Drosophila melanogaster: one gene and its partner. The protein of the gene in region 2 interacts with the protein of the main gene of each other region in a pairwise test. Each region holds a gene or a part of one and is shown on either strand. Other genes may lie near its edges. The genes, in order: CG12194 and raw.

The links.
Region 1: the proteins of raw (region 2) and CG12194 interact in a two-hybrid assay, tested with the Drosophila melanogaster proteins (one large-scale study listed by BioGRID).

Annotation. Positions count from the first base shown.
Region 1 is NT_033779.5:4,836,164-4,840,092, reverse strand, and holds the start of CG12194 (uncharacterized protein), read right to left. Parts: upstream 1,747-3,929; 5' UTR 1,716-1,746; intron 1,632-1,715; exon of another isoform or gene 1,563-1,631; intron 1,102-1,562; 5' UTR 791-1,101; coding exon 583-790; intron 517-582; coding exon 1-516. Other genes in the region: tank, read left to right, coding at 2,477-2,491, 2,560-2,858, 2,936-3,610, 3,849-3,929.
Region 2 is NT_033779.5:8,738,464-8,742,392, reverse strand, and holds the start of raw (raw), read left to right. Parts: upstream 1-1,732; 5' UTR 1,733-1,979; coding exon of another isoform or gene 1,980-2,008; intron 2,009-3,929.

The DNA of each region.
Region 1 (3,929 bases), 3.9 Mb from region 2:
TGCAAACCAGGGACATGACGCACGTTGAGGAGGCCAGGAACAGGGCCACGCCCAGACCCTTGTAGCCGGAATAGGATTTCGAAACGTATCCATATAGTGGTTGCATAATCCAAAAGTTGACGGTGCTGCCGAAACGGGCTACCGACAACTGCAGTCCAAAGACCATGTTAATCTCCTTGCCCTTGAACCATAGCACCGCATAGCTGTTTTGGGCCACAGCCAGCGACTCAGCCCCGATGCCGAAAACAAAGCGTCCCACGATCATCAACCAAAAGTGGCCCAGGACTCCGCCGGTGGCGAAGATCAACTGGCCAACGAGCACGATCAGCATGTAGATAATGGTGCCCAGGCGGATGCCAAACACCCGGTCGATGAGGAAGCCGCCCACAAAGCAGAGCACAATATTTGGCCACGAGTAGATGGAGTAAATCAGCGTGAACTCGGTGGAGCTGAGTTGCAGTTCCTTTTGGAAAACGTCCTGCAGTGCGCCGGGATTATCGTAGCAAAAATAGGAACCTATTAAAGGAGTTATTTAAGTAGGTATGGTCCCAAGTGTTGTTGCAAAGGAATTCACGTTCTTACCAAAACCCAAGAGGCACATAAAGAGCAGGGCGAGGAAGCGATGTGGCGTGCTCGTCGGATCACAGCATCCGGCATCCTTCTGGTGACCGGCTAGCTCTGTGTCCCGAGTGCTGCGTCGCCGCACCACAGGATGCACTTCGTCATCGCTGCTGCTGCAGGTGCTGCTGCTCGACGAGCTAACGATGGGTTTGCGCTCCTCGCGTGACATTATTGCCACTTTTCGTTGACAGAATGATGGAGGGTTGACGGGAAATTTGAGTTGTGCGATGGTAATTGCTATTTGTGGCTGCTCCTCTTTTCCGGAATTCCTGTTCCTCGACCGGTGGTGGGTGGTGGGCGGTAGGCGGGGGGTTGGGGGCGGGCTGTGGCCCTACTGTTGCTGCTTATCACTAGACCACACCATAATTCCGTGTTGTTGTTGTTGCTGCTGTTGCCTCAGTATTTGTGCAGTATTGATTATTCCCGCACACAGAGATGATGGAAATTGGAAAGGTTGGAATGGGGGGTGTTTCGGTTAATCTGCAAAAAAGCCAAGATTGAAAATTGCATTCCCACACACACAAAACATTTTACGCCCTCTCTCACACACACACACTCATACACATGCAGATGCAGGTATGTACATATATGTCACGGGTGGGTGTGCGTTAGTGTGTGCTTGCTAGGTAAACATGAAAGATCTCGTTGTCCGTTGGCTGACTAACGGTTAATGGGTAATCAATTAAGCGCTTGCATGCGCATAACATTTAGTTGACACCTGATTTAAGGCTTTACTACGCTATTTGCGTATTGAAAGCAGCTCTACTGTGGTATAAATTCGATATGTACACACACCCACGTCAATAAATAGGCATATGTAAATGCCGTATATCAACAACAAAAAAAAGGGATTAACAAGCAAATGCCCCGTTATCGCAGTCAACAAACGAAGTCACACACTAATTAATCACTAGTCCACGGTCTTATTTTGCATTATTTACATTCGATATTTTCGAATTGCGATTGTGGCGGGCTTACGATCCAGGAAAACTTTACTTAATATTTCTTGATGTATTTATGTTGATTATCAACAATGTATTGTGATGAGAAAGTCCTATCACGCCTACTATATGTTCAACAAGTCGTGGACTTACGGTTTATTTCTGTCCCCTGTCGGGAGAAGAATGGTCGGTATTACCTGGTTTCCCTACCTGTAGCTGTAGAAATGGAAGTGGGCATTGAGCTCTTGATATCGATATATCGATTACCTTGGGAATATCCTTACGAAAAACCGTTACTATCATTACGTTTTAACGGATTTGCGAAACATAAGCACTTGCTAAAAAAGTTTGCTTCGATTTATTAAGAATATCAAATGGATTACCAAACACATTCGTATGAGATGCAGAAAAATAAAACTATTTATTCGTCACCATTGAAAACCACAACAATTTATTGTCTTATAATAACGGTAAAATTCATAACTATCGATAGTTAACAACACTGCCCGCCTGTGCATCACTGACCAGTGCTGCAAAACGACCGCAGCGCATCAGGTGGCAACCGTGTGTTCCTACACCAAGCAAAACAACTATTTTATTATTAAATTCAGCACAAAGTTCAATGATTATTAGGTCCTCTGCACACTCACTATTCGATCAGCAAGCACTGGCACAGCGATAAGTATGTAAGTTAAAGTTTCAAAATGGTACAAAGCCAACCAAATGTGCGGGCGCACGCTATTTTGTGCAGTGTAAAGGCGCCAACGATGTTGTCTTCGTCTCGCACAACGCAAATTTATTCAAAGACCCACTGCCACATTTTGATACGCTCCCGAGCAGCTAAACACGTTTCGTATGCTTGCATGTCCATTTCGTAATGCCCCCGATCAGGAACTAAGGTCTGTCCACCCGAGATGGCGGCGATAAAGGTGAGTTTGCGACTGCCCTTTTGGAGCACACAGACAATGGCCCAACTAAATGCGTTGTACAACCACAGAACATCACCCTGGGCATTCTGTACGGCCTGTGGGACAGCATACGTGGCATGACACTGGTCCTGCACATCGACGACGAGGTGAACCGCCAGAATGCCGAGCAGGAGCACCGCCAACAGCTGCGTCGCACCGACAAGGATCGTTACGAACGCGCCAGGAGATCACCGTCACCAGTGCCCAGTTCCGCGGCTGCCATGATTCGGGAGGAGTATGCCAAGCAGGCGGAGGAGAACGCCGACGAGCGGACGCTAGAGAAGATCCTGGGCAAGAAGCCAGCCGCCCAGGATCAACACCCGCAGGGGTATGTGTTACACAAAGACTCATTCCACGTACATGTAATTTTAAACTGCGCACTTGATTTTTAATCCGGCGACACAGGGAGAAGAAGATCGCCAAGAAGCTGTTCAAGTGCTGCATGCTCAATGGCGGTTTCACCTGGCTGAGCATCGTCCTGTTCGAGAACGCTCTGCTGCCCACGCTCAAATTCTGCCTTACCATCTTCTATGGAGCCCATTCCGAGACCCTGCCGGTGGTTTGGGGCTGGCTGCATCCCATACTGTCCCTGCTCTTCGGCATGATGTGGGTGCTGCCCATATTCATGCTCTCCAAGATTGTGAGCTCTCTGTGGTTCGCGGACATAGCCAATGCCGCGTATCGCGTGAGAAAGGGTCGCCCGCAGCTAATCCCTGGAATTAGCAAACTGGTGGCCGACTTCCTATTCAGCATGGTGGTGCAAATGCTGTTCCTGGTACAGAGCATGCTGGTTAACCTAGTGCCTGTGAAATATGTGGGCTCCTCGCTGTGCTTCGTGCATCTGTGCCTGCTCTACTCACTGTACTCCTTCGAGTACAAGTGGTTCAACATGGGCTGGGAGCTACATAGACGACTCACGTACATTGAAAAGAACTGGCCCTATTTCTTCGGCTTCGGAATACCGCTCACCGTGCTGACAAATCTGTCCAGCTCGGTGATCGTCAGTAGCTGCATCTTCTCCATCTTTTTTCCCCTGTTCATACTCAGCGGCAATGAGGCAAAACCCATTGTGGACACCACGTAAGTGTTTTTGGTTTGGTAACACAGTCCAGCTTCACTAAATCGAACTTCTGGAAAATGTAAACTGGAAAGTGATGTAGTTCATGTTCAAACTATCACGCAATTTTAGTTGGACGTCTTCATGTAATGTAATGTAATTCGTTTTTCCTTTGTTCGTGACCAGCACGTATCGATTTAGAGAAGCTCTTCTGTACTATATCTATAAATATAAATAACTAAATATTTGACATCCACCCAGTGAGGTCTCCCTGCGTCTCTTCTCGCCGGTGGTCTTCATATCGAACCTCTGCTTCGGCGGCAATCCGTGGAGCAAGGCCAA
Region 2 (3,929 bases):
CGCTGGCCCCTAGTTGGTTAAATTAAGTTAAGATACCACCTCGTCAGTGCGAAAAGAACTTGTATCTTAATGTGCATAATGAAGTGCCAGACTTGACTTGCCATCCAGGAACACCTGGATGTGCCAATATAAATCCGGTGACTGCACTGATCCTACTGCTGCGAGGAAAAGCTATCGGGAAAATCCCAGTTTAGATGAAAATGGGGCCATTCAATAACTGAATTGCTATTTTTGCTAGCAAAATGATTTTAAGGGATTTACTTATTCAATTCATAATTATTTATAAATAGCGAATTCTTAATTTATAGTTTTATATATACACACCTTTTAAATGATTTATGTAAGTTTCTTATTAATAGATATTTATTTACAAGAAAATGTTAAGGAAAAGGCTGCTGTTTTTCCGACTGTTTCTGCGAAAAGCCAAATATCAGTGCACAAGAAGAGTTGGTGGGCGAAGAAAAGTGGAAGTGGAGTTTCCTATTGTTGCACATGCATTAAGAGTAATGCTGCAGTGCTCGGAAAATGCTGGAAAGAGGGTGAAAATGCTACTTTGAGTGGCAATAAACAATGCATAATGAGTTGAGAGTCGCGTTATTATTGTTGCAGCCCGTGGCTGAGACTGTTCATTACTCAAACAGGTAATTTAAATTAAGCCAAAACAATACGCCAAGGTGGCATTTAAAGTAGGTGCAAAACGCATTTCGCCATTAGGAAATTGCCAATTAAGAAGCAAACACTTCTGGGTCCATTCATTACTGCAACACTTGCAGGCAAATCATTTAATTGTCTTTTAAAAATATACTTAAATCAGCAGAGGCGGCAAAGTATTACAAGTCTTCATGCACTTTCTCAGATATGACTAGCCACAAGCACTTAATTCTTGATATCACTTGGAAGTGGCACTTCCAAATCAAAATTATATACATTTAGTAAATAAGAACTATTCGAAAAGACATTTTTCATTTAAAAAGGGAACATTAAGATTTTACTAATTTTTCTATTATCTTAAAGAAAAAATTTTCTAATTTCCACATTCCGTATTTTGTTAATACAACATTTCATTAATAATAATGCAGATATACCCACGATGTCAGGATTTTAAAATAATCTTGAATAATTTGCAAAAGTTAGATCAGAGCAAATATAACATAGATTTAAATTTGTGATACTGTTACCTAACAGAATTTTACAATGTTATTGAAATGTTAATTTTAACACAAAAAAGTGCTCTTCTGCTAATTTTTACATGCACCCAAGACAACAACCATCGAATACAACTGAGTATACGTTCGTTAAAATTTTGGTGGCAACGCTTGTATTCCTAATCTATTAAGATGGCAAGGCTCGTTATCTGAAGAATTTACATTGGCAGCATCAAACATCATTAACTTTGAACTGTTATACAATGGTGCCAATGTAACTTTTTCTCGACAAATGAATTTTGTACTTATTTACCCAAGTGTATATGGAAACAATCAGGTACCGAAAATGTGAACTCTTACAATATATTTTACCTCTTTTTCATCTTAAGTTGTTTTTTTATAAAAGATATCAGCACTGCTGCAAAGACAGCATGCTTTAATATATAATATATATTAATTAAATAAGTTTCACAGTTTTTACGTGGTGTTAACCAACTTACAAAATTCACTCACAAATGTTAACATTCTGTACAAGCATTAGTGTTACCAAATACTCGATAGTATTTTCGCCGTTCCACCAGCTGGTCACACCAGAGACGAATTTAGAAATCTAAAGAGAACCCAACAGTTTCCTAATGCAAATACAATAAACTAATTGTTTAAAATGTGACAACAGTGAACCAAATGCTTGCTGAGTAATAAACCAAAGGATGTTTTGTTTTTTTCTAAAACGTGCCAAGTGAATCGGCTCCACGCAAATGAGAGTGCGGTCTGAAAACAATGGAGCTGCCGTAAAGAATTGATTAAACAAAATAGTCGAGAAGAGAGCGCAAAATGCACAAAATGGTTAAATTATTCCTCAGGTAATTTCAGTCCCAACAAAAACAGCATGTGCCAGATTGCTTTCGTGCTCTTATTGCTGTTGTTGTAGTTCTAGACTCTCTCTTTGCGCTTTAATATTATGAATGACGTAAGCGCGCCTCTTTGGTAGCAATACAAAAGCAATAACAACAATTTGGTTTTGTTGCTTTTGTAAACAAGGAAAATAACAGAATGGTTTTGTACCGCTCGCGTGTGTGTGTGCATAGGTGAGTGGGGAGCTCACTCACCTATGCACACACACACACAAACGCAGGTAAAAGTGGCGTCGTTGGATTTTTACTTGGAAAACGTGTTCGAACTATAAAGAGAAATAGTAAGAGAGAGCTGAGCAGTCTAGCGCTCTTTGCAATGTTATTTCTTTTTTTGGTCAATGACCTAAGCTTTTTCGTCCGTTAGTTGAATTCGTTTCTTTCGCCAATTTCCGTGCTTTTGTGTGCGAGTTAAAAAACTTGGTCTATTTTCACAAAAATCATTGTTTACACTTTGTTGATGTGTAGGTAATTTTCCCAGGCTTTCTTAGCCTCATTTTTCAAGAAAAGGAGTAAACACTAAGTTGGAGGCCAAAGTTGTGAATGGTAAAAAAAAAACGTAATTTTTAAAGAAATTTAAAAAAAAAACTGCCAGCAGTAAACAACGTACAAATCAAAAGAGAATAATTGAGAATACTATAATTAATAGTGTTGTATACATGAAATGTTCAAGAACTTTATTTCCCGAACACATAAAGCATGAAATGAGTCTTCATAGTGTTTCCTTATATCTCTGAAAACAAATAGTATATCACTCGATCATCCAATTGCCTTGCTGTTGTGACATCTTGACAGTAATTAAGTTTATGCACTCAATTGTCACAAAGCCGGAAACAAAAGTGCACAAAGATGTAACATGTTGGTACATTTTTTGCAATGACAACAGCACGCAAATTAGTAAACATTACCGGCCAAATAACAATGCACTGTTTGGAAAATAAAGTAAATATTATGAAATAAATATTATTGTTGTTATACAAAACAGAAAGCAATTACGGAGAAGCAGTAACTGCAGCACAGGTATATTTGCATTCGTGATAACTTTTTGGTAAATAAATTATCTAAGCAATAAAAATGTTTTAAACTTGTAGGATTTTATTTTGGCTTATAAACATAAATACACTTAAAAATAAGTTTTAGGTCGCTTGTTTCAGTTTGTTTCAGAATGTTTTAAGAGCACCGTATAAAATTTTCGAAATTTTCCACAATCTTGAACGGTACTTCTGCGTATTAAGATTAATTGTTTGGCCTTTTATCAGTCTATTTCACTGGAATAAATATTTAACTAGTACTCAGATTTTGTAGGGCACTCTATATGCGGTGTACTTTGCTGACCGAAAAAAAGAGAGATACAAATGTTGAGAATGCGAGGGAAAACGCTTTTGTGATCTTCTTGATTTAAAAATTTTAACGCCAGTGCTGACCGAGCAATTAAAATGTAAACAGGCGGGAAATGAATAAGCGTGCCAGGGAAAAATAAAATGAAATCCCAAAATATTTACAATCATGCAGCAGCAGTTGCACATAAAAACCCAGGAAGAGAAGAACGGAATCTTAACGTGTATGCTTTCGAAAATATACTTGTACCTTAAAATGGCAAATTGGCAATAAGAAACCGACGCGACATTAATATGGCTAGGTAAATACAAAGGCATCATTACCGAAGGTCGTTTTTGTTTGCGTGCGATAAACTTTTTTTCTTTCGACTTTATAGCAAATATTCACGCATACAAACAAACCCGAATGCTTCCCTGTGTTTGCGATTGGTATTATCTGTGTAGGCCTTTGTTATCCAACCATTTGCTTATCTGGGCACGGCTGTCAATGCGTGTGTTTGTGATGGATACTTGATTGAATTGTTGTCCGTATGTTA